Linked DNA regions of Rattus norvegicus. The protein of the gene in region 3 interacts with the protein of the main gene of each other region in a biochemical or structural test. Links are inferred from orthologs where the notes say so. Each region holds a gene or a part of one and is shown on either strand. Other genes may lie near its edges. The genes, in order: Ralbp1, Pld1, Rala and Exoc2.

The links.
Region 1: the proteins of Rala (region 3) and Ralbp1 form a complex in vitro, tested with the Homo sapiens proteins (3 studies listed by BioGRID). The link is inferred for Rattus norvegicus from reciprocal best matches to the Homo sapiens genes RALA and RALBP1.
Region 2: the proteins of Rala (region 3) and Pld1 form a complex in vitro, tested with the Homo sapiens proteins (2 studies listed by BioGRID). The link is inferred for Rattus norvegicus from reciprocal best matches to the Homo sapiens genes RALA and PLD1.
Region 4: the proteins of Rala (region 3) and Exoc2 are reported together in a solved structure, tested with the Homo sapiens proteins (2 studies listed by BioGRID, with this or other methods). The link is inferred for Rattus norvegicus from reciprocal best matches to the Homo sapiens genes RALA and EXOC2.

The regions. Positions count from the first base shown.
Region 1 is NC_086027.1:112,904,090-112,911,732, reverse strand, and holds part of Ralbp1 (ralA-binding protein 1), read left to right. Parts: intron 1-2,591; coding exon 2,592-2,699; intron 2,700-3,852; coding exon 3,853-3,974; intron 3,975-4,388; coding exon 4,389-4,509; intron 4,510-6,648; coding exon 6,649-6,894; 3' UTR 6,895-7,643. UniProt on the Homo sapiens protein: Multifunctional protein that functions as a downstream effector of RALA and RALB. As a GTPase-activating protein/GAP can inactivate CDC42 and RAC1 by stimulating their GTPase activity.
Region 2 is NC_086020.1:112,900,387-112,908,594, reverse strand, and holds part of Pld1 (phospholipase D1), read right to left. Parts: intron 5,347-8,208; coding exon 5,236-5,346; intron 2,439-5,235; coding exon 2,238-2,438; intron 1,084-2,237; coding exon 870-1,083; intron 97-869; coding exon 1-96. UniProt on the Homo sapiens protein: Function as phospholipase selective for phosphatidylcholine. Implicated as a critical step in numerous cellular pathways, including signal transduction, membrane trafficking, and the regulation of mitosis.
Region 3 is NC_086035.1:51,831,079-51,839,286, reverse strand, and holds part of Rala (ras-related protein Ral-A), read right to left. Parts: intron 6,264-8,208; coding exon 6,089-6,263; intron 462-6,088; coding exon 339-461; 3' UTR 1-338. UniProt on the Homo sapiens protein: Multifunctional GTPase involved in a variety of cellular processes including gene expression, cell migration, cell proliferation, oncogenic transformation and membrane trafficking.
Region 4 is NC_086035.1:33,789,619-33,797,826, forward strand, and holds part of Exoc2 (exocyst complex component 2), read left to right. Parts: intron 1-4,009; coding exon 4,010-4,155; intron 4,156-4,282; coding exon 4,283-4,364; intron 4,365-5,134; coding exon 5,135-5,237; intron 5,238-5,735; exon of another isoform or gene 5,736-5,947; intron 5,948-8,208. UniProt on the Homo sapiens protein: Component of the exocyst complex involved in the docking of exocytic vesicles with fusion sites on the plasma membrane.

The DNA.
Region 1 (7,643 bases), on a different chromosome or scaffold from region 3:
TTAGAAAGAATTTTCTTTTTTTAATTACAAGTTGATCGCTTTTATTATTTCTGCCTGGTTTGTGTCTGAACAGAGCTTTGTAAGGGTGAGAGACCTCTGGAGAGAGACTGCTCAGAAATTTGAGTTTTGAATGGAAATTCAGGGCTTGATGCCCAGGAGGGCTCCTGCTGTAGAGACTTCACCTTGTGGCTGCTGTGCTGGGAGGGCACAAGGCCCACTTCTGGTTTTATGCTAGTTTGCTGTGTAAAGCTTGCGTTTGGACTCAGTTTTTCAGCCATCAAAGCTAAACTCCACACCCTGAAAGATCTTACAAGCCACATGCAGATCCAGCAGCAGATTTGAGTAGCACAGCCTACAGACAGACACTAGTTAGCACCTCTCAGACCTGGAGAGTGGAGTAGTGGGTTATTGAGGCGACAGGCACCTAAGGCCTTTTGCTTTGAGGTTAGAGTGCTTGTTGAGGGGACAAGTCTAAGATTGGCATAACCGCACCCAGTTTTCAGGATGTGTAGCCTGGGAAGGAAGCCTTTCATATTATTGTTCTCTCTAGCTCACTTAATGGTCTGCCCTTTGTTTCCTGTCTTATGACCTCTTGTTTGTTTGTTTGTTTGTTTGTTTGTTTGTTTGTATGTTTGTTTTAATAAGCTCTCTTGTGGCCCAGTAGTCTCAAATTGGTTCTATAGTCAGGGTGACCTTGAACTCTTGATCCTGCTGCCTCTGCCTGGCATGTGCTGGATGGTAGGCTCGGGACATCATGCTTGGCTTTGGACGTGTGCCTGAGTTTCACAGGGCAGATTGCACTGTCCAGCAGCCCTACGTGAAGGGTCCCTGCCATAGGACAGAGGTAGATGTTTGCCTTTTGTGTCTCTTAGTTGTGTGTCTGTTATCAAAGGCCCACGGCTGTGGAGATAGATGGCTTAGTTGGTGAAGTGCCTGCTTTGGCAAAAGTAAGGAACAGAATTCAGTCCACAGCACTCACACCTAGGAGTTATGTGCTTGTGTCATGGCTTATGCCTATGATCAGCACTGGAACAGCAGGAGGGCCCTGGGCTTGAAGGCCAGCCAGTGCAGAGGACTCCATGAGAGACCATGACTCAAAATTAAGTCGGAGAACTGACTGAGGAATGACATCTGACAAATGACTTCTAGCCTCTACCCATGTGTGCACAAGTACATGACTATACAGGTTTGTGTACACACACACACACACACACACAGAACTTTGGTATTGAGCTCAGAAGCAGTGTGGGGGTATGACAAGAGATGGCTGTCTTGTCTTCTTCCCTTTACCAGTTGTAGTCTCTCCCCGACCATTCCCTCCCCTTGCTGCCTTATTTTTTAGCTATACACCCAGGTTCCTTCATGCTGGCTTTACTTTTGAGGGAGAACTTACTTAAAGACATATCATTCAGTGGATTAATGACTGAAAATATGAACAAAGTCTAGCACCAGTTTAAACCTTGCTATCCTCTTGTCACTTTCCCAGAAATTAACTGTACGATTGTTTATCATACACCCCAGAAATCCACTCACAGCATTTATCCTCTAGGGGAAGCAGCAGCAACCTTTAAGCCTTCACTAAACACGGGCAACTTCGTAACAGCTGGAAGCAGCAGCCGGAGCCCTGCAGCTGCTGGGGGACATAAGCTGAGGGGTCCGCGTGCTGCTTCTCACTCGGCCACTGTTCATGCAGCACAGTAGACAGGCACATCTTAAAGCCAAGTGTGAGGCTACAGACGAGTGACTTGTTGGTCAGCTCCCCTGAGACATGACAGAGGCTGTGGGGATAGAGAGGGTCCGGCACCACAAGCGGTGTAGCAACGGGATGTTTCCTAACAGGGTGGTGGGGGTGGCTACTTGACTGTGTGTATTTGGTAAAATTAGTTAAATTAGGCTTACAATTGACACCCCAGTAGCTCCCTTCAAGATGTCTCATGTAGTCTAGACTAAGGGAGCGTATTCATCAGAACTATGCATTTTTCATAGTGCAGCCATAGACCAAGGTGACCATGTTGTATTCTTTCCTTACTTTAAAACGTTTATTTGTGTGTGAGTGTGCGCGTGGGTGTGGACGTGCCATGGCATACCTGTGGAAGTCAGAAGGACTTGCCGGAATCAGTTCTCTCCATCATGTGAGTCCTGGGGAGGGGAGGGGACCCAGGTTGTCTGGCTTTCTGATAGCAAGTAAGTGTCCACCACAGAGCCGCCTAGCGGTCTCTACCCACATTACAGTCTTTGATGGCTTGGTTTGGGTTTTGCCTTTTGAGGTGGGGTCTTTCTGTGTTGTCTTGACTGTCCTGGAACTTACTGTGTAAACCAGGGTGGCCTTGAACTTACATAGGTCCTCCTACCTCTGCCTCCTGAGTGCTGGGATTAAAGGCCTGTTCTTGTTCCACTATGCCTGGTCCTACCTACAGTACCTTCTAAGCCTGGTTAGCAGATGTCCAGCCATCATTACAGACAGTCCCCTGCTGCTGCTGCTGCTGCTGCCACCGCTGCCGAGGTTTCCTATCTTGTTAATTTGAGAGGGCCACTTGTTGACTATGTGGTACATGTGGGCTGAACAATAAATCGTGTGTTGTCTTTGACAGGAGTGTGAGACCAAGATTGCACAGGAGATAGCCAGCCTTTCGAAGGAGGATGTTTCCAAAGAAGAAACGAACGAAAACGAGGAGGTCATAAATATCCTCCTTGCCCAGGTACCTTTCCCTTCCCAAAGGGATTCACTTTCCAGATAGAAGCTCAACTACAGACTTTTTAAACCAAAGTTGTAATGGACTGGCTCAAAAGAACTTGTTCCTATTCTGTACTGTGTGTGCTGAGATGTTAAGTGTAGAGAAGAAGCTGCCTTCTGTCTGGCTTCCTGGTCTCTGTGAGTCTACACAGAAGTTTGTGTTGTTGGCATGTCCCTGATTTAAAAAACAGAAACAAAAACTCTGAGGAGAGAGAAGTTGCAGATTATTTTCTTGAGAGTTCCCACCTGAGGTTTCTTGGCATACAGCTCCATCCACATGTAGGGCAGACAAAGAATGTCAGTGTGTTTGCACGTGGAGAACCGGCCTCTTTCAGGGGCTTTTCAGTGCTTCCTGGGCTGTGCCCATGGCGCTCCTTGTCTGCAGGGAGTTGCTGATGCTTGTGCTTCCGAGTCCTCCTCTGCTCTACTGTTCTCTAGGCCTGAGGACCCGAGATGGAGTGCAGACAGGCTCTCTCCCTGGGGCTCTTCTCGAGCAGTTTAGGAAGGAATGGTTGACCTGTCCAAAAGGCATGGCTGGGGATGGTGAGGAAGGAAGGGAAACCCTGTAACCTTTCCTCCTCTCTGCTCTGCCTTGCACCTGACATTGCTGCCAGCCACACATGCTTCTCTTGGGCCTTTTCCTAGTGACACTGTGAGAAGCCGCTGTGTCCCTGAATCCTGAGAGCCAGGAAGCAGAGCAGATGGTGTTTAGGTTATGTTTGCTTATGCACGCGTGTTGCACACACAAATGCTCAGATGCCCACGGGGCCAGAAGAAGGTATTGGATCCTCCTCTAGCAGGTGGTTGTGAGCCCCTGAGGCGGGTGCTGGGAGCTGGACTTGGGTCCTCTGAGGAAGAGTAAGTGCTCTTAACCGCCGAGCAGCCTCCCCAGCCCTGAGCAAGCCAAAGCAGATGCTGACATTTGGTCCTTTGCCTTGGGTGGCCAGCTCACAGGAGCCTGTGAGAGCAGCAGCAGGTTCTTGTGTGCGTTTCGTTGGCGTTGTGTGCGTTTGTCTAGACATTCTCTCAACATGGCTAGGCAGCTTTTCCTGATTCCGAGACAATAGCACGGTGGAGGTGGTAACCTTGTCCACCCCGAGCCGCTATCACTGTTTCAGGAGAATGAGATCCTGACTGAGCAGGAGGAGCTCCTGGCCATGGAGCAGTTTCTGCGTCGTCAGATCGCCTCGGAGAAAGAAGAGATTGACCGCCTCCGAGCTGAGATTGCGGAGATCCAGAGGTACAGGGCACACGGGGCTGGAAGGTTCAGCCATGTTGTGGTTTACATGAGCAGAGCTGTTTTAGTCAGTAGTTCTCAACTTCCTAATGCGCCAAGCCTTCAACAGTTCCTCACGTTGTGGTGACCCCAGCCATAGCATTATTTGCTTTGCTATTTCATAATTGTAATTTTGCTACTGTTATGAATCATAATGTAAATACTGATATGCAGCTGGATGGTCTTAGGCGACCGCTGGGAAAGGGTTGTTTGAGACCCACAGGTCGAGAACCAGTGTTTTAGCCATTCCTATAAAAGAACTGGGCTTCTGAATGTCAGTCCCTGTGGGCTCCTTAGAAGGTCTTACACAGCCTTGGGTCAGGTAGCTTCTCTAGCTGGCCTCTGAGTACTCCATAACGCTCCCTTGTCTCCACACAGTCGCCAGCATGGCCGCAGCGAGACAGAGGAGTACTCCTCTGACAGCGAGAGCGAGAGCGAGGATGAGGAGGAGCTGCAGATCATTCTGGAAGACTTACAGAGGCAGAATGAAGAGTTAGAAGTAAGTCTGGGGGACAGTACCCAGGAATCAGCAACTTCAAGTGTTCTTGACCACAAACCACCTATTTTCCTGCTGGAGACTTGTGGAGGAGAATTCAAGGACCTTGTTTTTTGTTTTTTTTTTTTTTAAAGATTTTATGTATATGAGAACACTATCACTGTCTTCAGACACACCAGAAGAGGGCGTCAGATCCCATTACAGATGGTTGTGAGCCACCATGTAGTTGCTGGGAGCTGAACTCAGGACCTCTGGCAGTCAGTGCTCTCAACCACTGAGCTGTCTCTCCAGCCCCCTGAGAGAGAGCATTCTTACCAGGATGGGGCGTGTGCTCTAGGCCGTCTAGCCTTGGTGTATAAGTGAGCCTATAAAAGCTGAATGGTGCCTGGCCACAGACCTCCGTGGCCTTGCAGTGGAGAAAGTGAGTCCCTTGAATCGGCCCATTGTAAACTGAGGGACAGTTGTCTTGTAGTCCTTGCCCCACAGAGCAGCAGATGTGACCAAATGCCAGGGAAGCTCCACTGAGAAGGAAACACTGTCCAAGTAATTTCCTTTCTCATCCCAAATAAAACATTGTCACACTGTCTCCTGTGAGGACGACTGGGTGAACAGGACGCCTTTGCTTCATCCATGTTCACTCAACTGCCAGGCAAGTGCACAGGGGAGTCTAGAGTTGCACAGTGGCTGGGCATGGCGGCTCAGGAAGCAAAGGTAGGCGTTTCTGAGTTGTTGGCCAGCTTGGTCTACAGAGTGAGTTCTAGGACAGTCAGGGCTTGAAAAATCACAGCAAAAAGATAGGAAAACTATTGTTGCCGGAGCGATGGCTCAGCAGTTAAAGCACTGGCTGCTCTTCCAGAGGACCAGGTTCAGTTCCCAGCACCCACATGGCTGCTCACAACCGTCTGTAACTTCAGTTCCAGGGGATCCAACACCCTCACACAGACACGCATGAAGGTAAAACACCAATGCACATTAAATAAAAATAGTATTTTAAGAATTGCCCACCGCTGCTGTCCACTGTTGGGAGGGTGGGCCGAGTGAGGGGCAGTGATGCTCTTAACACTTGTAGCAGATGGCTCTCCTGGGGAAGAAGCAGGTAGGGATCCAGTGACATGGCCCAGCAGGTGGAGGCAGTACGGCCTGAGGACCTGGATTGACGCCAGCTCCCTTCACATGCACCCAGCCGTGTATCCGCACCCATTGAGTGATCCCAGCACTCGGGAAGCAAGAGGCAGGTGTGGAGCTCTGAGTTTGAGGCTAGCCTGGTCGATAGAGTTGAGACCTTGTCTTGAAAAACCAAATCAGAAAAGGAAGCTCGTGTGAGTAAGACAGGGATCCTGGGAGTTCTGCCCTGGAGAAGACACATGGGTGCCTTATGGGAATTCTGCCCTGGAGAAGACACATGGGTGCCTTAGTTTGCTCTTGCTTTCCTGAACAGAAAGTCAGACAGCAGAATTGTGTAGTGTTTTGTTGTGCATAATGTGTAGGCCCATTAACACAGCTTTTTCTGCTTGGGCCAAAGCGGCTGCCCTGAATCTTGCCACGTTCTCAGTAGGGGAGAAAAGGGTCAAGGCACACCCAGTGTCACACTGAGTAGGCAGTGGGGCTGGTGCCTGTGCTCACTTCATTGGAGCAAAGGTGTCTGTTAGAGGGCACACCCAGCTGCTGAGGATGCTGGGAAATACTGACGAAGAAGAGGGCATTCTGATGGCTGGGGTGGTCGCTGTACAAATTACTGCTGAACGAGCACAGCACACAAGGACAGATTTTACAGAGAAAATGGTCTCAGCTTTTATCCCCGCTCTCATTCCCTCTCCTCAGTGCTGTTAAAATTACCTGTGTTACTCCCTGGTGGGCTTCTCAGAAACCAGGGTGAGGAAAGAAGCCATTGAAGCACTGTACTTAGTCAGCAATGGTTCTGTCGGTGCCTTGTTTTCTAAGTGTGTTTACTGCTTTGTCACTAGGCCTCCAGTGGTATTTATTTGTCTTCCTGTCTTGTGCTGACCAGTCAGGTCGTCTGAAGTAGAACTGGACCCTTGCTTAGGACAGCTTGCTTGCAGCCTGTCCTGTGTTCTTCTGCCCTGATTCCTTGTCCATCTGACCTTGCTTAAGTGGTACCTGCCCTCCCTCTCATTCTTTCAGATAAAGAACAATCACTTGAACCAGGCAGTCCATGAAGAGCGGGAGGCCATCGTTGAGCTCCGAGTGCAGCTCCGGCTGCTCCAGATGCTGCGAGCCAAGTCTGAGCAGCAGCTCCAGGAGGAGGAGGAGCCCGAGAGGCGAGGGGGCACAGGCCCACTACCCTGTGAAGGTGTCCTCGAGGTGAGAGCAGCCAAGGAGCAGGCGAAGCCCTCGCCCAGCAAAGACCGGAAGGAGACGCCCATCTGAACTGCCCCGGCCCTGTGCATCGTACTGTAAGCGAGAGTCCGCTGCCTGTCCTGCCGGGCAGCGTTCTGTGAAGGCTCTCAGAGACGCTCGCTCTTGCACACGTCTGACTCCGTGTCAGGCTCAGGTCCTGGGAGAGTGAAGGGGTGGACACTCGGGGGTGGGGGGCTTGCAGGGAACACAGGTATTTCCAGATAGTGTCAGCTTATTTGAAAATTAATTTTCTTTGTTAAAAATAACTATTTTAACCCTTGAGTGGCTTCTTTTTAAACCAAAAAACTTTTTGCTTTTTTTTGTTGTTGTTTAAATCACAGCAGAATCAGGATCTCTTTCTTATCAAAGGGTGGGAACCAAACCAGGTCACTTCTGCGCCTGCCTTGTGGACGCTCGTGGTCTCACCAGCCCTGCAGGGTCCCTGGCCACTCTTGCTTGTGCCTTCCACACCTTTTGGTGCAGATTGTTCAGTGGGGAGCTGCCTCATATTCTCTGACTGGCCAAAAAGGCTCTCGCTGGGGTTCCCTGTACCTGCCCTGTGTGTACCACTTTGCTTTTCCAGCTCCGGGTCTGTCAGTGTGAGTCAGGACGGCCCAGTTTGGTTGCAGACGGAGGTTACCATGCAGCCTGCCACCAGCCTGGGCAGGGCAGGCCACCCACTCACTGCCAGGGAGCAGCAAGGGCCTCTTCTCAGAGGTGGTCAGAGATGACCACCTTGACCCTGAGGTTGCACAGGACACTTCTCACACCAGGGTCCT
Region 2 (8,208 bases), on a different chromosome or scaffold from region 3:
GGCCCTGCTCAGACTCACTGGAAGGGCGAAAGAGTTTCAAGTGGGGCTTTAACCCATGGATTAAATTCTGATGACTTCTATAGTGGTTAAAATAACCTGGAGAAAGTTGAGAGTTCTTTTTTGTTTTACAAAGAAATGTATTTTCATATACACATCTATGTATCAAATTTTATAAACTTGAAAGCATGCTTAATCTTCTTCAGAACAAGCAGGTCTATAAAGTCAGCCATACGAGCTAGTGTGATTGAAAAATCACAGCACTTTAAGCAAGATTTGCAAAGAGTAGTAAATTCATACGATATAGGATATCTGATGTCTGCTGCTACAAGCTTCATATATCTCTGACTGAAAAAGATAAATCTATCCTATGAAAGGTTTATAAAGAATACGTAATGCTCTTTTTCTCTTTATAGCTTGGCATATTTTAGAAAGCTTTAGTCATTATGCGACCATCGAAAGTATCAATAGTGGCTATGATTACACTGTATTAATAATAAATATGTTTTTAAGATGAGGCAAAAGAGACTGGGCACAAGGTTCAATTGGTAGAGTGCCTGAGTGCACACCCAGAACCGGTTTAACCCCCAGAACCTTCTAAAATAGGTGAGACCTGTGATCCCAATCTGGGATAAACAAGAGCTCCAATCGGTCTCTATCACATAGTGAGTCTGAGACCAGCCTGGGCCGCAGCTGAGACACAGTGTCTCAAAACACAGTGTCACAGTGCCATGGTGGCACACACGATGCATGGCAGTCTTTGCACATCGTCCATTGACTGCCACCACGGATCTTTCTAAAGCAAATAGGCAAGGGCTGCGAGACCCACAGGGTCACGGGGTAACGGAAGTTCTAGCGAAGCCGTGACTCACTGGAAGCGCTGTCGACGCTGCTAATGCTGTCCGAGTTGTGCAGATTACGGCGGTGAAGTTGGCGATAGAGGCTAAATTTGGAGAATTTCCTGGACTTCCCTATGCCTTTCAGTTTCATGTCGGTATCGTTGACACTCTTTAAGACGGGCTCGTTTTTATGAGATTGATGTTTGTCCTTGAGGCTTAAGGATTCCATAGACTCTACTGATGCTGCCTGAGAAAAAAAGACCAAGCATGAAATGTACTACAATGGGCTTTCGATTAATTAGAGCTAAGAGGCAGTTAACAAGTGGTTGCCCCAGAACAGACTCTCCTAGAGTCTCAGGTGGTCGGCCAAATGAGCCCTGCTGTGGATTCTTCTTTAGCAAGCCAAATTCTTTTGTTTGCTTATTTTTGTTCTTGTTTGTTTGTTTATTTGTTTGTTTTATGAGACAGGGTCTCTCTCTTTCTAGGCATGGCTTTCCTGGAACTTGCTTTGTAGACCAAGCTGGTCTCAAATTCAAGAGCTCCATCAGCCTCTGTCCCTCACATGCTGGGATTAAAGGTGCATGCCACAATGCCTAAGTAAAACTTGAACTTCATTTTCCTAACCCCTTTATCTCCCAGTCATTACACTATTTAAATTCATTGTTAAACTACCCAACTTCTCTGATTAACCATGACTTCCTCTGTTAATCCTTTGCGCATCTTTTGAATGCAAAATGTCCCCCACTGGCTGTTTAACACTTAGTCCCCAGCTGGTGGCACTGTTTTGAAAGGCATTAGGAGGGGGAACCTTGCAGGGGGGGGATCACTGTGGGTGGGCTTTGAGGTTTGAGCACTTGTCTTCACTGTGCTTCCTAACTGCAATTGTAATGAGATGCACAAGGGACAGTTTCCTGCTTCCACACCTTCCTCAGCATACTGAGGAACACCCCTTACCCACTAATACCCCTTAACCTGCAGGTCAAAACAAATCCTACCTCCCTTAAGTTGCTTCTTGTGGAGTACTTGGTCCCAGCAATGAGAAGAGCTAAGGAATATGCTAGTCAGTGCAGTGCTCTTTCTTTCAACCCCCAGAAAAGCAACTGATAGATATTCCCATCTATAAATAAGAGCCCATCAAGTCTTGCAAGAAATACATTGCAATATATTGTGTAGAGCTGAAACACAAAGCAGGTGCATAAGCAAATGGAGATATTTTGGCAGCTCTTGATTGGCAGGTATTTTGAGAAGTTATTAGTTAGCTCCCTGCTCCAAGCCAGCTCTGCATTACTGGGTCAGTCACGCTACTTATGACAAGCCTGTCAGTTTTCAGTTATGCTATGCATATGGGTTTAGACAAGCCTGCCAGCTTCGAGCTGTCCCACACAGGCGCCAGGTACTCACTGTGAGAGAGCCCAGAGACTGTCCTGAGGTGACCCGCTTGACACTGCCCACATCTGTGAGTCTGTGCTCATTGTCATCCCACCGTCCATAGGCCAGGTCAATCCCACCCACAAACGCCACCGATTGGTCGATAATGACGAGCTTCTCGTGATGAGCCCACAGATACACACTGGAGGACACATGGTCTGGGTGTCTCATCACCTGGAGATGGGAGAAATCCACAGAGAATGCACTTTATAAATTTCACATCACAATAGATAGGGATGCTTTCTCCTTGAAAAATACTCTTCCAAGAAATTCAGAGACAAAAAGGTATTCTAGAAGTGCCAAAGAGAGTTTTTCAAACTTCGAATTTTATTCTCAGTATTAGCAGAGAAAGACTTGCATCCATTTTTTTTTCTTTTTGAGGATTACCCTGGCTGGTCTTGAACTTGAGATCTTGTCTCAGCTTCCTAAATGCTTGGATTCCAGGTGCAGGCCCCTCCATGTGCCTTCTTATGGTTTAAGTTCTCAGCCAGAGGAGATATTTTGAAGAAATTGTCATTTGACTTGAATGGCAACCATTAAAGCTATGTTAGTCTAATAACTGTAGGTTCTCTTTCAACCCCCTCCAAGGGTAACCCTCGGGATAAATTAATTAATTAATCAATAAGTAAATAAATAAAACACCTAACCAAGCACACACATGTGGGAAGACATCTATAAGGTATATTTGTGCTGGGGGTTGTGGCTCAGGCTCTTAATTCCAGCATTTGGCAGGCAGGCAGGGGGCAAGCGGTTCTCTGTGAGGCCAGCCTGGTTTACCAAGTAAGTTCCTGGCAGCCAGAGAAACCCAGGCTCAAAACAACAAAGAAACAACAAAAAAGAAGAAATTATATTTGTATCCCAATGATACAAGCATACAGATACATGAAGGTACTAGGAAAAACTGACCAACTGCTCCAGGATGACCCCCTATATGATCCTATGTTTTGGAATTAGGATGACCCTAAGAATATTGGCTAACACTTTCATATATTGTGGTAAAATATATACAACATGAAATTTACCACATGACCAGTTTTAGTGTGCATCATTCAGTTTTTCCAAAGTAATGAGCTGGCCAGTCTTCCTTCCTGGGTCCCTGAAAATATTTGAGAAGGACCGACATAGGCCTTCCCTAACTGTTGGGTAGAGCTCATCAGTGAAGTCATCAAAGGGACCCCTGGGGAGAGATTTTTAGTTATTGATCAATCTCCTGACTGGCTGCATCTATCCAGATGTCATTCCTCTTCCCAAGTTAGCCTCGTAGGCAGGTGACCCTACTACTGGGTGTGCCTGTGCTCACGGAATCTCTGGAATCCTTACCACTCCCGTGGATTCTTCCCCAGGCCCCTCTTTAATGGCTTGCCTTCAGAAACTCTTCCTTTCAGAAAGTCTTTTCCTTTCTTCTTCCACATAACAGTTTGTTTCTTGAACTGGTCAATCCTTCTAAGATCCAACTTTTGGTTCCACCGATTTTTTTTTTCCTGCTCTGCCAGTGGTGGGACAATGCTTCCTTTGTGATTTCCTTCCTTCTGCTCTCTGTAGGTTTGCTTTGTTCTCCTTTGTCTGGATCCTTAAAGCTTTAAGATTAAACTGACATTTTGAGACCTTTTCTCTTTTCTAACGAATTGTTTATGGTTATAAACATCTCCCCTCTTTGTACTTTGCTAATTTCTATCAGTTTTGATATGTTCTTTTATTTTAATTTGACTCCTCCTCCTCCTCCTCTTCCTCCTCCTCCTCCTCCTCCTCCTCTCCTTTTCCAGCTCCTCCCATCTCCTTCCTCCAATAGGACCTCACTATGCAGCTCTGGTTAATCTGGAACTCACTGTATAGACAAGTGTGTCCTCCAATACAGACATCCTCCTGACTCTGCCTAGTGGTTAGATTAAAGGTGGGAACCACCACACCACCCTGAATTCTTCCTTTAAAAACACTTTAAGGGGCTAGAGAGATTCCTCGGTGGTTAAGAGCACTAACTGTTCTTCCAGAGGTCCTGAGTTCAAATCCTAGCAACTACACAGTGGCTCACAACCACCTGTAATGGAATCCAATGCCTTTTTCCGGTATGTCTGAAGACAGGTAGAGTGTATTTATATATAATGAATAAATAAATCTTTTTTAAAGATTTATTTGTTTACTTATTTACTTATTGTATGTAAGTACACTGTAGCTGTCTTCAGACACACCAGAAGAGGGCATCAGAGCTCATTACAGATGGTTATGAGCCACCATGTGGTTGCTGGGATTTGAACTCAGGACCTTTGGTAGAGCAGTCAGTGCTCCTAACCACTGAGCCATCTCTCCAGCCCAAATAAATAAATCTTAAAAACCCATTTTAAATTTTATTTTTAAGTGAACATGCAGAATGATAGGTTTCATTATACGTGATGTCACCAGACTTCCTTCTCATTCTCTCTCTCTCTTCTTGTTGACCCCAGAGCCCTGGCTACTTTCACATAATCAATCTCTCTCTCTCTCTCTCTCTCTCTCTCTCTCTCTCTCTCTCTCTCTCTCTCTCTGATACACATACACACACACATACACACACACACACACATACACACACACACACACACACACACACACACACACACACACACACACACACACACACACAAAGAGTCCTCCTATGTAACTGTGGCTGACCTATCATTTACTTCATAACCTAGACTGGTCTTGTGCTTATGACAATTCTCCTTCTGCTTTCCAAGTGCTGAGATCACAGGTGTGGGCTGCTGCACTGCATAGGGGAGCAGGATGCTAGGCAAAGGAGATGGAGAAGGGGTTCAATAGAAATATGGTATGTATGTGTGATTTACATGCCTTTGCATGCTAATTTTGGAAAGCAATACAAGAAAGTGTAATACTGTCTGCATTTCAGAAGATTTGATGCTGTTCATTCAAAATGAGCATGAAGGGAATCTACTCAGAAATGGCCACCGTGGGAGAGTAATCCTTGGTTCCAGGATACCTTTATGTTGGGGTGCAGCCGCATCAAAGTCCGCTTGGTGTACTCGCTGTTGATCCCGAGGGCTAGCTCCACCTCTTTGTAAAGCATTATGAAAATCCGCACACCTTGTTGCTGTCACAAGAAAGACAGGAATGAGCACCGAGACAGTTATGACCCCTTCCCTTCTTCCTTTCCCTGTGTTAGATTTCCTTTACTCTGCAAAGCGGTATGAAAATAATTAGCAAACAGACAGTACACAGAGTGACACACATTACATCAAGACACAAACAAAAAACCTAAAAGGTGTGGTGGCAAATACTGGTCATTCTAGCACTTGGGAGGTAGAGTCAGGAGAAACTAGAGTTCAAGGCTAAGCTTAGGAATAGAGAGAGTTCAAGGCCAGCTTGGGTTGAATTTGATATATATATATCAATTAAACCACCCCTTCCCTTCATACACATTTAATCACATGAGTGTTGGTACTGTACTAATAATACATCCAGAATGCAGAGACCAGTGCCTCAGTGCCTGAAAGTGTCCAGTAGCTGCAGTGCCTTTCACTTATCACCCAGGAAAACTGTGACCTGAGCCTTCAAAGCAACAGCCAGTGCCAAATGTTCCCTAAATGTCTCAGGGTGGAGCTTAAGTAAGATTTTTCTTTCCTGAAAAATATTGATTTCCTCAAAGATGAATGTGCTAAGTCTTACCTCGCACTTAGACACTGAATGTCTACATCACTAGCAAAAGGACTTCTCTTACCAGTAGCTAAGTGTAACATGGACACACAAATTAACACAGATCTGCCCCTAGACAGTGGGCCAAAAGAACACAGCTAGAGCTGTTCACTGTCAAATTAAAGCAGAAAGCACCTGGCGAACTCCTACTGACTTGTACCATCTGACCAACAAGAGCCACGTGTTCTCACAACACTACAGCTTCAAATGCCTTAAGAGTCCATGCCTTCAGGTAGTACATAACAGAAATACATTTCCCACTGTTATTCGGTCAATATGATAGAGTATGTGAATTTCCTATAAGACCACATCATTTCACTAGTTACAGCTAATATGAGTCTATGGTTTTGGCAGGACATTAGATATACAATCAGGTGTTTATGAGGTGTATTAGAAGACACACCACCCTTATTCTGAAAAGACGACAACAAAAACCCCCAAAATTAACCTATTTGGCACAACTGTTTGCACGTGCGTGTATACACATGCATGAAATTCTACTTCTGTAGCTAACACCTGGCCTTAGGAATGTTTTTGTTATTGCTCACGGTGACTGTTCAGTTACTGTTATAATCAAATTCAAAAGCACAAGCTAGTTCAGCAGATATAGGTATCTGTGGCCAGGCCTGATGACAGCTTGAGGGAGAACCCAGGTGGTAGGAAAAAACCTCTACACCTGTGCTGCAGCATGCACGCACACAAACACACACACACACACACACACACACACACACATCTATTTTAAAGAATGATGTGTTAGAGAGAAGTGAGCAGGCCACACTAGAGGATGAGAGGTTCACTCCCAGAACCCAGAGTGCCGCACAGCCTTAGTTCCAGGGGATCTGATACACATCTCAGGCCGTTGTAAATACTGTGTGCATGTATGCATGTTCACACAACGAACATGTAATTAAAAATTAGAAATATCTTTTAAAGAGATTATCACACACATAATATGAATAAAGAAATAAGCACATAAAAATGTGGGAAAGAAGGGAACAGCTTGATTTCTGATACTAGCCAGGCAGTACTTTCTAATAAAACACTAGTTGAGGGGTCAAAAGGAAAGTCAGGTTGTATTCTTTTCCTGTGATCTGTTCTTTTAAATATTTGAAACTTTAGCACTGAACTATGGTCAGTGCTTTGAAGAAGACACTAGGGGGAAATACAACTTAGTTTACAACCCAAAATTTCAACCTAAGTAATATGTGGTTATACCTGAGGCCATTCCTCGTTTATTTCAAATGCATGAAATTCGGCTTTGCCTTTGAGAGTGTTTCACTAATTCTGTTGTGTGTATAGTGCGTGTGGTAGGCATGCAGCACTCATACATTCCCACAGGGTCCCTTGCATGTGAACAACAGAGAAAGGCACTTTGTGCACTCCTCTATCCCCCTGTCCCTTACTCCTTTGTGGCAGGTCTCTCCCTGAAGCTGGAGTTCACTGTTTGGTTAGGCTGGTGAGCCAGTAAAGCCCTGCCATCTTCCTCTTTCTGCCTCCACAGCATAGGGGTGATGACGCCACACTAAACTGTGCCCAGCTAGTTCTGTGTGGACATGGATCTGAAATCAAGTCCTCATGATTTTGCCGCAAACATTCTTAACCACCGACCCATCTCTCCAGGCCTCCAAATTCTACTTATGGAGTTTAAAACATAGCGTGCATGAAGGGCAGGATTTCATACTAGGTGCTTGGCCTAATTCCTGCAGTTTCCACTCACCGCAGTAACTGGGAGATCTTTAGATAATGAAGATGTGAACTCTAATGGACTGCACTGATACCTTCTAATTATTACACCTGGCATTTTCTCTCATACCATGTCTTTTCTCACTTGACCAAAGTGACTCTAAAGGAAATAAAATAGAAAGAAGCTCTGCCTACTTTTATCTTAAATACCAATGGCTAACAAGGAAGTAATTTAATGTGATTTATACTGGGGTTTATCTTACATACTTATGCTTAGACCTATAATAAACAGCTAATTCATGGCAGATTCCCATGATAATAAGGCCATGATTTCTTTTCTTTTACAAGCTGTGTTACAACACAGTCACAAACTCTATAAATGGCAAGGAAAACTCATTCCTTTATGGTAAAGCCATTTGCTGTGTTGTAATCGTGTAGGCTTATAAAACCATCAAGATTATTTCAGCAAACCAAAAACCCAATCTTCAAAAGACAGATGTTAAGTCTGTAATCTTAAAAGTAGTTTGAAGTAGCCTTCCTGGAGGCAAACAATAGATGTGCTGTGACCATAAAT
Region 3 (8,208 bases):
CCCCCACCCCATTTCACCTCTTGATTAACAGTTTGAGAAAGACTGCCCCCCCCCCCACCTCCCCAAAAAACCCAACCAAGCTTACACGCTACATTCAGGACTGGGATAAAGGTAGGCGATTATGAAATAAGTTGAACTCTGCTTCTTGGTGAAGCCACACAATTTCTTTTTTAAGTGAATTTGACTTCCAGTGCAGTTCCAATTCATGCTTTTAGTGATACACTACAATTTCCAAAATGTTAAAGTAATTTCAGTCAATTGAGCCTCCAATGGCAATGCTTATAAATTATATTTATTAGTATGGTCAGGTCAGGATAAGAAAGGAGTTTGGGCTTTGATTATAAAATGCAGCATCTTTCTCTGATTCTCTTGGCTAAACTTTTCCTCTTCTTTTTTCCATTTTTTTCTTTGCTGTCTTCCATCTTTCTGGCTCGTATTTCCCTCATTAAATCAAAAAATACCTAGAAATAAAGAAAGTGGAGTAAACAAATGAGAAGCAGCATGAACCCAGTGTTTCTGTGTCACAGCACAAACCCCCGGATGAAAGAATCGCGTCTGAGAACTCTCCCTTCCCCAGCACAAGATGGCGAATGCTCACTTACAGAGCTGCCCTACCCCCAAGAGGGCTTATTGGTGAATGCAGGGAGAGGAGAGCACACAAGAAGGTTGAAACTTGAGAAAATTAGCAACTTGTCTGAATGACATATATCTCATGGTACATTGTACAACAAACCCTACCTATTTTATTGTAATTTTCAAGATTCAAATGAAAATAGTGCTATATAGTAATGACAGAGCCCAAGATAAAACTCAAAGGAGTACATGAAATATTTTTGAAAGGTATTTTTATTTCATGTGTATAAGTGTTTTGCCTAAATATACATATGTATGTGTGCCAAGAGTGACCCATGTATGTGTGCCAATGGTGTGTCCTGTGCCTAATGTGGTCAGAGGCACTGATCCCCTGGAACTGGTGATGCAGACAGTTATGAGCCATCATGAGTGCAAGGCACTGTTCCTGGGTCCTCTGCAAGAGCAGCCAGTGTTTTTAACATCTGGGCCGTCTTTCCAGGCCATATAACGAGCATTTTGTAATCAACAAATGTGTTTTGCTAATTCATTGGTTTGGTGGTAATTATGTTTATAGTGAAAAAAATTAACACAGTAACTAAAAATTCCTTGTATTAAATCTCAACTACAATTCTCCTGTTTTCTAACAAAGAAAGACCCAGAAAAACATAATAGATAAGTGTTGAGAGGAGACGGTAACTCTTGCAGGCCACAGTTCTACGTTCTGTTTGCTTTTTAGAGTCTAGCTGCCCTGAACTCACCATCTGCCTGGCTAAGCTTCACATATGTTCACACTTTCTCAAGAAATTCAGTTACTACTTAGGGAATTAAAAAAGTACAAAAACATAAAAACCTCCCAACCTCAATAAAATTAGAAACAAACAAATATAAAAAATAACTTGTCACAAGTGTGCAAACATATAAGCACAAATGACAAAGACTACATGCCGTCTTACTATGCCTTTAGCTCTCAAGGGAAACTAATTGGAGAACTCCCAGCAGCAGACATATGGAGAAGGTACTTGTACAGGAGGGAGGAACAGTGTGTGTGCATCTCCTTGTACTTGTAAAGACAGAACCATCAAAGGATAAACCAGATACTCACTAGCTTACAGGAGCACTATTTTCAAGAGCAATGGAAGACATCAGAACTGAATGTAATTTCTACCTGGAAAAATTACAATTTTGTACACTAAAACCATAAATAAAACACAAAATTCATTAAAATTTGAAAACTGGAAACAATGACTACATTCCTAGTTGATGACATAATCATGTAGAGAAAAAATTATTTCAAGGGTCTTTAGAACACAGTATATGGAAAATTCACCTTAGGTGTTAAAGATAAAAATAAAAGTCTAACAAGTAGGACCATAATGCCTTGCATGCAAGAAGCTCTATGTATGATCCTGAGTCTGTCTGTCTGTCTGTCTGTCTGTCTGTCTCACATACTCACTCACACCCACATCTACATAGATGCATACACACACTCATACCCACATGTATACACATGTACGTACACACAAAAACACACATGCATGTGTACACGTACACACACAGAACCTCAGCAACAACCAAAACAAGGCCAAACAAGTCTTAAGAATCACTCCGTGGCTCACTGTGAGAGTGACTCACACACACACTCTGGAGGATAACACAAGTGTTGCTGCTAGAAGCAAGGCTTTCCAGGATGAGTGTTACCTCAGAGATGTAAGGATCCCGGAAAGAAAAATCTGAAAGGGCATTAATTAATACTGTGAATTCGTGAGCTTTTCTTTTATTTTTAAAAAGACTTCCTGACACTGTTCAATGGCAGGGCCACAAGGCGGTGATAATAATGAGAAGTAACGGGCAAACAGGCTCCGGTTGACGGCTGAGTAACAATCTATCAAATGGGATTTCTGAGTTGGAACAATAAACATAAAACTTAGATGAGAAAGTGAGGGAACTATACATGCTAATGCCTCATCAGACAGGGAAACGGATGAATAAAGGGTAATTCTGGACTGGGGAGCATACAATGCTGAAATATCACAATGGCATAGACCAGTGTTGGGATTCAAAATCTCCCAGGGATTTTTGGAAGCCTCTGCTTCCAGTTCAGATGGGACTAACTCTAGCAGGAAGCCTCCTTTTTGGTCAAAGAACTCCATGGGAGTCTTCCAGTACTGGTCTCTGTATCAGCACTGTATCATAGTACACTGTGAAATGGACATAGAAGAAGGCTTAACTTTCTAGCAAGTGGATGACTTTCAGAAAACCACCCATACTAGAAAACATGGTAGACAACATTTAAAGTTGCATCAGTTAATCTGATGAATGAAATCCTGTTTCAAGTGCCGACCAAAACAAACATCCACTAAGGAAGAGAAGCCAGAGTCAGACAGCCAGCAGAACCACCTCCCCGTCTGCCCGTCTTGTTCTCCGGGCTCCACCCTCTTTTCTCATAGGACAACTCAGTGCCTATAAAATGTGGCTTTCTAATTCCACACTAATTACCTGAGAAAGTAACCTTTTCACATAAATAAAAATAAAGTTAGACAAAACAAATCCACAGGTTTATACTTGACTTAAAATATCCATTGCTTAAAAAAAAAAACTGCCTTCACCAGTATTTTCACTTTTAAGTATTTAGTGGCCCTGAGTTCACACTAAAGACTATTAAATTGTCAACAGAACCAAGGAGCTATTATAAAAACGAATACACAAAGGAAGTAATATGTGTGTATGTGTGTAGCTTAGAATGGTTGAAAGCTCTAAGGAAGCCATACAATTCAGAAATCACAAAATAAAATAATCAAAATGTGACAGTATAATCTACTTTTCCCCTGTTCAAAGATTAAGTAAGCCACATGAAGACATGTTACAGATTAGGAGACAATAATGACAACAAATGAAGTGGACAGGGGATAATGTTATTATTCTAGACAGACACAAGTCAAAAGGTATGCAAGTCATTAGGCAGATGGACAGAAAGACTTCAGATTGGCAGATGACTGGGTCAATCAATCAATCAAAGCACATGCATTCTCACCCGTAATCAGGGCAAGTTTTAAGGGCTGTTTTAGTTGGGCTGGCAAGGACACATGAAAGCAATTTCTTATAAAGATAATGGAACACAAGGGCACTGGTATGGTGGGCACTTTGTCACCTGTCACCTCTGCTGAAAAAGAATCCGTGCATTTTTCTGATGCACAGAAGTTTGGTGGGGTGCTGTTTGTAGTAGAAAACTGTGTGGGTGCTGGGGGAGAGATAGCTCAGCAGTTAAAAGCACTTTCTCCTTTGAATAGTTGGGTTCAGTATAAGGACTCATCATGACTTAAAATTGTTATTAGACACATGTAGCTTTAGTCTTTCACGTCTATAAATACTGTTTCAATGACTATCACTGTAAATATATTTATGTGTGCATGATTTTTCCAGAAAATACATTTTTATTTTAATACTTTTGAATTTATTGGCTTTAACTTCCTGCAACTCCTCCTAGCGTTCCCCACTGCCCTACCCACCCAAATTTATTCTCTCTGAAAAAAAAAATCAAAACAAACACACAAACCCCTCCTAAAGACAAAATAATACCAAAAGCACAAAAACAAAACAAAAAGCACCCAGGAACCTATTGAGTCAGGCACTCCTGCTCTGGTCAATTCTCCTGAGCCTACGACCTAGGTCTTGGTGTAGGTTAATAGAGCAGTGACAGTATACTGGAGAAAACTGATTTTCTCTTTCCTGGTCACTACCAATTACAAATAGCTTCTTGGTTAGGAATGGGACTTTGTGCCACTTTCCCTTGTCTACAGTAGAACAAAATACACGTTTAGAATCTCAAGTGCTGGGTCACAATTTTAAGAGATTAATATCACATTGCCCTTCTATAAATATGAGGCTTTTTTACATTTCATGCCAAGAATATACTGCCATTTTTTCCCAATGAGATAGGATTTAAAAAATGACATTACTTTTTTAAACAGTACATTTGTTTTTTTAAGCAAGACTAATGTCCTTTTTAAGTTTAAAGCCATGGACATTTTTTCTGATAACGCATTTAGACTGCATTCTTGCTGGATTGCTGGCTGTCTTCTAACTCTCCTGGGAGAGCCTGACCCCACCTGGCATTCTTCTGAGGTCAGCACCAGACATGGCTATGACAGCATGGCTCATCTCTCTACACTGCCTCCTCTTTTTGCCCTTTTTTCCCTTTCCCCTTAGTCTTAGTCACTTTTAGTGTGTTCATAAGTTCCTGAGGACAATTAGGAAGAAAGATATGCCTATGTTTTGAAAACTTCCTCACATTTAATATTAAAATGTATTTTAGAAGAACTTTAAAAATATTTAACATAATCTTACAGAAAACCAGTATAGTATATGGAACAGAAATATTGTAGGACTCACTGTATCCAAGTACTAAGTCTGACCACATTATTAAAAAATTTAATCATGACAACATGGTCATAATATCTATTACAAATGAATAGAAAGAACTGCTGATTTTTTTTTAACCTCATGTTTTCTGCCTCAATTTTTTCTTTTTTCTTTCTTTTTTCTTTTCTTGTGTGTGTATTTTCTTCTTAAGACAAGTTCTCATTGCAACTGTGTAGTCTAGGCTGGCCTTGACCTCACAGACAGCTGCCTGGCTCTGTCTCCAGTGTTGTGATTAAAGGTAAATTCTACTATGGCCGACCAACCTCATGCTTCCTAAATCAGTATTATGGACTTCTAAGTATAAGCCAACTGGTCTACAAACACATGAGGCCATCTAGAGCAATATGAGCTTTCTAGAAATGTGTATTCCCATTCTAGAACAATTGAAGCAAAGTCCTTAGTGGTGAACCTTAAGGCAGTGTGTGTGCTTGTTAGGATTCAGGGACAACTGGCTGGACAGTGGGTTTAAGGGGCTCCTCCGGATAGTCATAGTACACAGTAACTAGAGAGCACCCTAATGAAAATCTCTAAGCACCCTGAAGATATCTCCCCTAATCCTGGAAAGGGTTCCATCCAGAAGGCACCCTCCCTTCAGAGGACTTCTATAACACTAGGCAGGCATCAGTCAGAGCAAGCACATAGCATGTTGGCATGTTAGGATCTAAAGAACTTCTTTTACAGTATACAATCCCATTAAAAATGAAGGCAGTAAGTGGGATGAGGAGTGCTACTGATGACCTAGAACACTATATTCTTCTGTAGTGTCTTATATCTGAGAAGGCCCAAGACAAGGTGAATTTCTACTGTCTTACTTAAACACATTCTAATCTCTGTCAGGGCTGGTAAAATGGCTCTCGGGTAAAGGTGCTTGCCACCAAGCCTAAGGACTTGGGTTTAATTCCTGGTGGGAGGAGAGAACTGTTTTGTGCTGTCTTCTGACTTCCACAAGTGTGCTATAGCTCCCTCCTGCCCTCAATAAATAAAAGTAAACAAACAAATCACTATATTAAATTTTAGTTGGATCTTAGAGTCTAGATAAAGTAGGGTAACAGGGCTTTTATATACATGGTACAGTAACAATGAGAACACCCTTTACCTTGTCAACGTTGGCGCGCGTTTTAGCAGACGTCTCCACATAGTTAACGTTCCACTGGTCAGCTCTGTTTTTTGCCTCTTCTACAGAAACCTGCCTTTTATCTTCTAAATCTGATTTGTTACCAACCAGGAGAAATGGGACATTCTCATCTTCTTTTACTCTTAAAATCTGTTCCCTAGAGAAGTAAAGCAAGTGAGAAAGTATTGACACAATGTCTACATAGTAGAAACCACAGAACAGGGACCGGAGCTGTCTCAGCAGCCAAGACGGTCCTTGTGGAGGAGGATCCAGGTCAGTGTCCGGCACCTACATGGTGGTTCACAAGCATTCCTAACTCCAGCTCCATGGGATCTGATGCTCTCATCTTATCTGTGTGGGTACCAGGCACACTTATGGCACACATAGCTACATGTATGTGTGCCAAACAGAATCATAAATATAAAATAAGTCTAAAATCAAAAACAAGTAAACAAACCCCACAGAATAACAACTAGCCATCTGCAATCAGAACTTATTTACAAGCATGTTTCTAGATAATCCAAGTTCATGGTTCCTGCCAACCACTAATTTAGACACACACTCCCTTGACTGAGGATGGAGAACCCCAGCAGAGGGAACACAAGCACGGCAGTAACAGAAGAGCTGTGAGGACAAGCTCTGCCGCAGGACACACGGCCTTCCCTGGTTGCTATCCGAGTGTGAGCACATTTCATGCATCACAGCTTGACATGTCACTTACTATCCAGATCCAAACCCATCTCCTTAGCTGTTTTCATTGATTTTAGCGTTTCCTTTTCAGTGTGGGACAGAACTTATGGCTTCACAGACGCTAGGCACATACTCTGTCACGGAGTCCCGTTCTCAGCCTGGCTCCCAGTTTGTACACAGTATGTCTTCCTGTTCCAGGCACTCATGCAGCACTTGGCGCCCTGACATTCCAACAGGCTGTGCGGACACTTCACCCAGCCTATCCTTACTTTGAAGATGAGCTTGGAAGATGAGGGGGACATTGCTGAGCTGTTTCTTTGGGACTTTTCTCTTACTTAAGCTGAGATTACGGAAGGAGCTTTCAGAGACAGCACTATTCTTATTACATTCCAAAGGCCCCTCCCACACAGGCCCGAGATTTCCAAAAATAGCTCTTGTATACAAAGATGTTATATGTTACAAGATATCGCTGACTGTCAAGTATTATGGCTCTGTTCTTCCCAGTCATGTGATTCTGAGCAAAGTACTTCTTTGCCTCACTGCCCTCATATATATGGTGGGATTGACAATGCATTCATTACTCACACAGTTGCTGAGAGCATTAAAAGTGAATGCTTATAACTATGTGTGGTGATAGTCAATTATACAGTGAGTCATAGGTGCTCTCATTAGTACTGGAGCAAATGCCTAGCTAGTTTGTCTGTGTACGTATCTTAAGGTCCTAAGACTGAATCTCAGGCCGTGTGCACACGGTGGAAGAGATATGCCACTGAGCTATGCCCTCAATCCCTTTCATTCTGAGAGAGGTCTCAGCAAGTCGCCAGTGTGGCCTGGCCTTGAACTTGGGATCCTTCTGCCTCAATATCACAAGGAACTTGAGTTACAGGTGTCTGAAACCCTGTTTGGCCTTTTCTGTTTCAAAATGAAGAAACATGGGCTGGCTGAAAGACTCAGCTAGCAAAGGCCCCTGTGGCCAAGGGTGACAACCTGAGCTCATTCTCTGGGACCTACATGCTAGAAGAGAATGGAGTCTCACAATTGGTCCTCTGACTTCCACATTCGTCCTGTGGCCTATGTACACAAACTAAATAATAAACAAATAAATAAATGGAATTAAAAATTTAAAAGAAACCAAAATAAGTATCTTAGATCATCTTGCTATCATAGACATGCCATACCTTTGAAATTATTAAGAGATGCAGAAATTATAGGAACACAAACATTTTTAGTTGAGAGAAAATAAAAACATGAATAGATTCTTTGAATGGCAGGTCAGTAAAATATACCTGATTAGTTTGTACAGCTCCACTGTGTAATACTTGTTACCACTAATATGATCTTTAAAATGTGTATCAGCAACTCACCATTCTTGCTACTTAATTTATGATCTGTTTTGGAGAGAATTTTAGCCT
Region 4 (8,208 bases), about 18 Mb from region 3:
TGGGCCCTTATGTAACCATTTCTTCATAGGTCCAGTGATGTCAGTAAGAAAATATTTTTTGGAAAGATTGGTGTAGGCTTTCCTTGGTGTTAGTATTGGAATCCTTGTACATTCCATCCAAGTTTCTGGACTTAACAGGACTTAAAACCCTTCCCTTTGTTTATTACTCCTGTGATTGTTGCTTGTCTTGGGTTTGTTGGGCTTTTGCCTCTGAGCATCAAGTCATAAACCTCGTTAAAATGAATATGTTCTGAATTTTACCAAAGCCATTTTTGCATCTTAAGAGAGACACAGGATACAACTGCACAGATAAGCAGAGAGGGCAGGGAGGCAGTGGGGTAGGTAGATCAGGTGTGGCTCTTGACAGGGCTTCAGCAGCACTAAAGGGAGGAGACAGGCTGCAAGGTAGTGAGGGAGCGATATGAATGCCTGCTGTGCCCAACAGAGTTCTTAGAGTAGAATTAGTCCTGAAGATGGCGAGCACTTAAAGAGCTCAGTAAGGAAGCTATGTGATGGCGTGCTTAGAAGAGTAGGCGCCATGGGATCAGCATAGATTCAATTCCATAGGAGACCAGAGAAAGGGCACAGTTGTAGTGAGCTCAATAGCTCAGACAAGGAGCCCATGGCAGGCAGAATAAAGATGGGAGCATTGGAACATTGGCTGCATAAATGCAATTAAAAAAGGAACATGGTTTGTGAGGCATTTACATTTCTAGTCTTGGGTAAAGGAGCCAGTTTAGGACACAAGGAGAGAATAGAGGAGAAAATTTTGTTGAGTTTATACAATATAATTGAGTTTTACATATAATTGCGTAACCTGAATCAGGAATTCCTCAGAGTTGATCACCAAGTATCTTCCTGGCTTTAACTACATCTTTTTTGTATTAAATCGGGCAAATGAGCTTTGTATATCAATACAGTCTTACCCAATAGCATGGACCCAGCATGCTATTGAATTGAACTGCCAGGCATGGTACATGCACCAGTGCAATAGGGTGTGACTAACATGAGGGTAGCTGACACCTTCGTGAGCCTTAGATTCATGCCTGCTGCTATAAACTTGGTCTGAAACCTTTGTTGGGAAGCGTTTTAAACCCTACTGAGAAACCTATTCTTGTTTTGTTAAATGGTTCTGTTGTCAAGCTGCCTTCCAAATAAATAAGTGTGTGTGTGTGTGTGTGTGTGTGTGTGTGTGTGTGTGTGTGTGTGTGTGTGTGTACCATGTGGATCTGTAGGGCTCTGGGATGTGACATGGTTGTGTGAGTAAGTAGTGTACACTGTCTCAGCTACTATGTTCTGTCACTCAGTTACAGAAAGCAACTATCTAGTCATCCTGGCGCCTGTTGAAACAGAGGCACGCAGAATAGGTTTGGTCTTTGGGAGGCCCTGCCTTTGCCAAGTATCAGTGTGCATTTTTGAGGTACTTTAATTCTCCAGTTGCTTTCACATTTGCTTTTCCTCTCAATACTTTGTCTTTCCCTGGGGCAAACTGTGATGGTTGGGAACCATCCTGCATTGTTCCAGCCCCTAGATTCCTATGAGGCACAACACACACACAGACACACATACACACATCTTACTTCTGTGATCTCCCATTTCAAGTTGCCCTTACAAAGAAAGAGATCAGTGTTTTCACCTTGAAATAGAAGACAGCATAATGTCTACTCTAAATAAACATGCCTGAAATTATAAGACACCATTAGAATGGCATAAGTCGGTCTTCTAGGTGTCTGTAAGAGACAGGTATGAGTGCAATGGATTAGTGTCTAGTGTGAAAGCAACTTCTTCCCTTGCTACCCTAGGGTACATTTTACTGCTCTGTGGGCCCAGCCACTGTAGTGGCCACTGTGGTGGACATAATGGCTTTGCAGTTAGTTTGTTTCTGGGGCCCATGTGTGAGACAGTGATAATCATTATCCAAATGAACTGATGAGGAGGCCATTTTCAGACAAGGGTAAAGGATATTTGAGGCCCAGCACCATCGTCTACTAAATCGTGTGTCTTAGGGCAAAGGCATGCATGCATGTCCATCCAATCTCCATACTTTTATTCTGTGTTCAACAGTGAACATCCAAAACCTTGTCAGTTGCCTTAAAATTGGACATTCTTGGTGTGAGGGAAAGAGCAAGGTGTATGTGGATTAACACACATGGAGGATTTTGGTGGGATGGTTTTGTGGATACCCAGCTGATACTTTTGTCTGCATCATTAGCCCACATATGGTGAGCACCCCCATTCCTCTGCACAAGGTTTCTGTCTCCTTGCAGTCCTAGAAGAGACCCCCGAACATTTGTGACTGCTGGTGATTATATGTGATGTGTAGATAGATCTTAGTTACATTGCTCTGAAACATTGTATCATTTAATGTCTTTCCCAGTTGTCAGAATTAGGAACTGAATTTTTATTGTGAGTGCAGTACAAATCACAGCAAATCATAGTTTATTTGCAGAAGTTGTCTGTATAATTTTCAACCTTGTATAAATTCAGGTTCTCAGTTCACAAATTTTGGCATAAAGTTTAATTTCAGTTTATGTTTCTTCCTATAAAATTATCTCTAGAAAAAATTATATTTTATTCAAGAGTAAGTATATTTTCTACCTGTTCTTCTTTTCATATTTTTAGAGTTTAAATTATTAGCTGGAATTTTTTTATTACTTTAAAATGATGAGAAGAATTTGAATTCAGACTGTTTACTCTGAATTCTTTCATTGCATAGAAAAAGGAATTTGCTAGTATTCGGCCCATACTTTACATGTAAATAAATAAATAAACAGAAAAGATTCTGTTCTGTGTGAAGTTTAAGTTACAAAGCTTAAACTCAATGATGTTTATACTTTTAAAATGATAAGCAAATGCTTTATGATACTTTTTTTCTGAAGAAGTTTTAAAATTCTAATCAGATTTCAGTACTCACTCAAGCCTTCATTACGTGGCTTGGTGACAAGGAAATGTATTTCTCATCCCACAATAGAGGTTTAGTATCCACATTAAATAACATGTGGGAAAAACAGTTCTCTTGACCAAACGAAGTTTTTATATCAGGCCTTTAAAATTTCAACAGAATTTAAACATTATTTAGATAAAACAATCATGTTACAAAGACGACTTTTAACAGGATCAGGCCACCCACAGTGTGGCTGTGGTGTGCAAGCCACCCAGCGAGGCGAGGTGAGTTTTTCATCTTTGCTTAAAGTATAGTCACTAGACCAGATAATGTAGAAACTTTACAAGCAGGTCAAACAGCTGAAAGCACTTTATTCTTGCTCTCTCTTTTCCTTGTAGCTAATTAAAATTAATTCACATGTTGCAAAATTTAAACTATTTTTGTATACAGCAAATTTTGCCTTAGAAAAACAGCTTTTATTTAAAGTGATATGTGTAATTTGTACTTTTTAAAAGAAAGAGTCATACGTGGTCATACATGATTTTTTTTTTAGCTGATTTAAGAAACAGTAGTGATGTTGTATTAAAATTTTGTTATTTAAAGTTCATATAATTTTCTATGCTTGCAACATTGAGGGATAATTTTATCAAGAAGGAGAGTTAGTGGTAATGACTTTTAAAAAATACTTTTCTGAAAACAGTTTCCCATATCCCGTTTATTACCTGTAATATGATGCAGAATTAATAAAATTTAAGTGGTGCGGTGTGCGTGTGTGTGTGTGTGTGTGTGTGTGTGTGTGTGTGTGTGTGCATGCGCACGCGTGCATGTTCTTTAAATACCCAGAATTATTATAAAATTTAGAGAGTTAAAATAAGTATATATGCATATTGGAGAAAATGATTTGAGCTTATTTAGTAAATGTTGCTGCTTTAATTAGATACCATTCTTAACATATGAAAGGACTTAAAAACTAGACATTTTATTTTAGCAAACTGTAAAAGATCTCTATATTGGTAACTTTAAAAAAGTTTACTGAATTTCAGTGCAGTGTAACGTTACCATTTGCTTTTAGTGCTCAGATTTAGGTCATTGTCACCGATCATCCTTTCTCTCTGTTTACAACAGGAGCAAGTAATACTGCTGACACATTGTTTCAAGAAGTGTTAGGTCGGAAAGACAAGGCAGATTCCACTAGGAATGCACTCAACGTGCTTCAGCGGTTTAAATTTCTCTTCAACCTTCCTCTCAATATCAAACGGAACATTCAAAAGGTACAGCATATGTATGTGTGCAGATGCTGCTGATCTTACAGATGGTTAAGGTATGTGGTATATTTTATTTTAACCCTGTGCTCACTGTTCTTCCCTAATGATTCACAACGTGTTTCTTATTTTCAAGGGGGATTATGATGTGGTTATTAATGATTATGAAAAAGCCAAATCGCTCTTTGGGAAAACGGAGGTGCAAGTTTTCAAGAAATGTAAGACTTATTTACTACTTTTAGACCTGTCTTTTCCTTTTGCAGGAGGAATGTGCAGTGTATACTCTGTAAAGAGTGTATATTCTGTAAAGAGTGGCACTTCTGTCCTGAGTCTTGTTTATATGGTGCTTTCTTTAAAACGTAAAGCAATGAGTGCAATGTAACCTCACGGGTTTTCTTACTGCTGTGTGGTGGGAGTGAGTGTTCATGGGGAGGCGAGGGCCGGTCTCAGATGCTCTGCTGTTGTTTTAACTACAGTGCATTAAAAACTTTTGTACTAGAGAGAGGCAGCAGCAAGTTTTTCACAGATGTGAAAATCTGCATTTCAGTCCTCCCTTTTCAAGCTAAAACCATGTATTTATGAGTTCTACTCTTACTCTAACGCAAACTCAATACTTTTCAAAATTGCTTTCTATACTGGGTTACAGAAAATAAAAGCTTAAATATCTTATGGTTAAAAACTTATTAACTAGGAGAAATACCATAGGTCTTATTAAATTTAAAAGAATGAAATCTATAAGGCCTCAGAAAGCAGAATTTATTTCTTTACTGTGGTGAAATTTACATGCAGTGAAATGCACAGACCTTACATGTTACAGGTCACTGAATTCTGACGAATGCTCATGGCCTCCTATACACTTGAGATGGTGTGTTTTGATCCCTCCACAAAGGTCCCTTGTGTCTCCTCTGAGTCAAAAAGCAACCAGTATTCTGCTTTCTGAAAGTGATTTTAAATTCAGTTCTGTAAATCTTGCATCTTTTAAAAATAGATTATGCTGAAGTAGAGGCAGGAATTGAAGATCTAAGAGAGTTACTTCTAAAGAAACTGCTCGAGACTCCGTCAACCTTACATGACCAGAAGCGTTACATAAGGTAAACCATGTGCAAGAACTCTGGTAAATTGCATATCTGTACTGAGTATATTGTAAAACCCACAAAACTAATTTGGGCGAATCAAAGGACTGATGAAATGGTAAAAGGGAAGACAATAGAAATTTGGGGGTATTTGGTTAGGACATGAATATTCCTGGAATATAAATAAGTTGGGAGCCATTATAGAGCCACCCTACCCTCAACCACCCCCCCCTGCCCCCGCCCCCGCCCCCGCAGGACAGACAGCCTGCCAGGTTGGCTGAAGGAAAAGCAGTCTCATCGCTCAGACCTGTTTTTCCTGCTCAGTAATGGTTACCACCTGACTCCCCTGGTTGACTGGGCTCTGCACCTGCAAATGCCAAACTCCATAAGGTGGGAAATTATAGCTCAGAAGTGTACCATGGCTGGACAGTAGTGAAGGATAGGAGGGTTTTCCCTAGAAAATATACAGATTTACATGTCTGTAGTGATCATCGAGAGAAGTAACTGTGGGAATAGTTTTCAGTTGGCAATACATTCAGAAATACTCAGCAGTGTTAGAGGAGCTGGATTCACAGGGCAGTGGAGATGCCGAGAGGAATGAGCCTTTCATTCTCGCTGCTCTGGAGTCCTGCTCTTCAGTTTCTTCATCGGCAGAGTGAACAGAGCAAGCAGCACGACTGGCTCAGGGCTGTTGAGGAGCTGGTCTTCTTAGGGAGTCGGCTCAGAACCTAGCACATAAGGAGCAGGCAGTGAGTTGTAGCTGTGCAGAGCCTACACTGCATTTGCAGATGAAACATAAATTAACAAGAGTTTTGTAACTAAGATTTAAAAATACTGACTTGGTTTTCTGCTATGCTATCTTAAGTGGGGTCTGAACTCAGAATAAAGGGCTCTTTCCCAAATTCAGTGACTTCTTTAATGAAATTTACTAAAACTTCAGTAGCTCTAAAATGACTTCATATATGCGTGCATATGTATTGCCTGTGGTCATCTTATGGACATTGAAAATACTGTGTGTAGGCCTGGAAAGACAGCCTGTCCCCGGACACTGCTGTCTGTGCATTGAAGGAGGGGCTAAGCTATCTTCTAGGCTAACAGTGGAGCAGATGCAGGACAGAGGATTTAACAGTGGATCCAGAGAACAGTGAACTGATTGCTGCTTCTAGGAAATGCAGGCCATGTGCCCACACTGGGCTGGGTGCTAACTGTGTTTCCTTTCTGGCCAAAGGGTCCAGCATACACAGCCCCAACAATTGCTTATCTGGTGTCAGAGCCCACCCTTTCCTTTCTTCTCTGCCTTGAGGAAATGTTATAGTTGAGGAACTTCCCTGGCTTGCAAAACTGCACAATTTAAAGTTGAAATAAACTCGGTGTGAGTTAGCTAAGCGCCTTGAAGCTTTGCTGCTTGTGTGTTAGAAGGTTAGCTTGCTTCCTCCTGCGTGAGTGAGCTAAATGTGCTTCAAGAAGTGCATTAACTTGTGGCTACAACTTTGAGAAGGCACTGAGCAATCTGATGATTAACTTTTAAAATTACATTTCTAGCTATTAGTGGATTAAAACTGAGCTCAGAACCAGGTCAAGTCTGTTTGACTTTAACATCTATGGCGATAGGTCCTGTGTGCACCAAGTAAAGCCAGAGACAGCCTGTGCACAGCTGTGTGTGTTTGACTCTGCCATCCACAGTTGGAGTGATAGTTCACTGCTGTTCTGCCTGCTCTCCTGGGCATAACTGAAGGTATCCTCTTCCATGCAGCTTAGCAAGAAGCAGTGCTCAGCGCTCTCTCTCCTCTCTCTCTCTCTCTCTCTCTCTCTCTCTCTCTCTCTCTCTCTCTCTCTCTCTCTCTCTCTCTCTCTCTCTCTCTTCCCCAGTGTGTCCCTACTCCTGGAGCTGTTGAGAATCCCAAAGAAGGTGGCTGGAAAGGCTTTTAGATTTCCTTTGTTTTGTTTCCTGAGAATTGAGCCCAGAGTTTCACTGAAAATATTCCTCCTTAAATTCTAAAACTCTGAATCTGTGCTCATCAGAATTAAGATTCTTCACCCCACCTCCCTACCTTTCCAAAACGCCTTCTTCAAAATGTTCTCTAGTATATAATTTAAAAAGAAAAGCAGTAACTTGTACCACTAAACATAGATTCTTTTACTGAAACTGCTAGTTTTAAGCTTGATGCTAAAAAGAAAAGAAACTTATTTAGGTCTAGAACTAACATAGTACTTACCAACCGAAACATTTTCTAGATTTTTTTGAGACAGTAACTTTATCTTTCTATATAAAATGTTTCTCAGCTTCTTCAATTTTCTGTTAAGATGGTATAGGATTATCAAAACTTTTAAGGTCATAGTGTATGATCTAAAGAGATTTACAATTTTATGCTGGGCAACTGCTAAAGAGCCCAAGTGGTGTACTGCCTGCAGCCCTAGCCAGGAACATCACAAGGGAAAGGATGCATCTTCTGTACAAGAATAGTGCTGTGCTTTGTGTAGATAGTGAATTGGGCCTGAATGAAAGTGTTAGGAGTTCTGAAATATCCAGATGCAAAGCAGCCATGTCGGGAGGTGTTGCAGTGGATTATCCTCAGCAGGAAAGAACAGAACGTATGTTCTTAGGGAAGGGAAGACGTAAGCTCTGACTTGCTGCATTTATATCCCAAATAAGAAAAGAGAACAGCTCTTGGGAGAGGAATATATCGGAGTGGATTTGGGGAAGTTTGTTTGCATTGAATTCCTCATACTAAGCTAAGTGTAATTTGTTGGAGTGTGGTTTTCTTCTGAGGGTAGTGCTCTCATAAATGAGGACGGCTTATAGGTGCCTTCTTTATATGGGCAAAAATCCTTTTTTAAAAAATTATTTTTCTTGGATATTTTATGTATTTACATTTCAAATGTTACCCCTTACCTCCTCTCCCATCCCCCTCTCCCCCTTCCTCCCTTTTTTTAAGTTGGCTTCCCACTTTCATCAGGTAAACATAGATGTTTGCAGCTTGTGGACAGT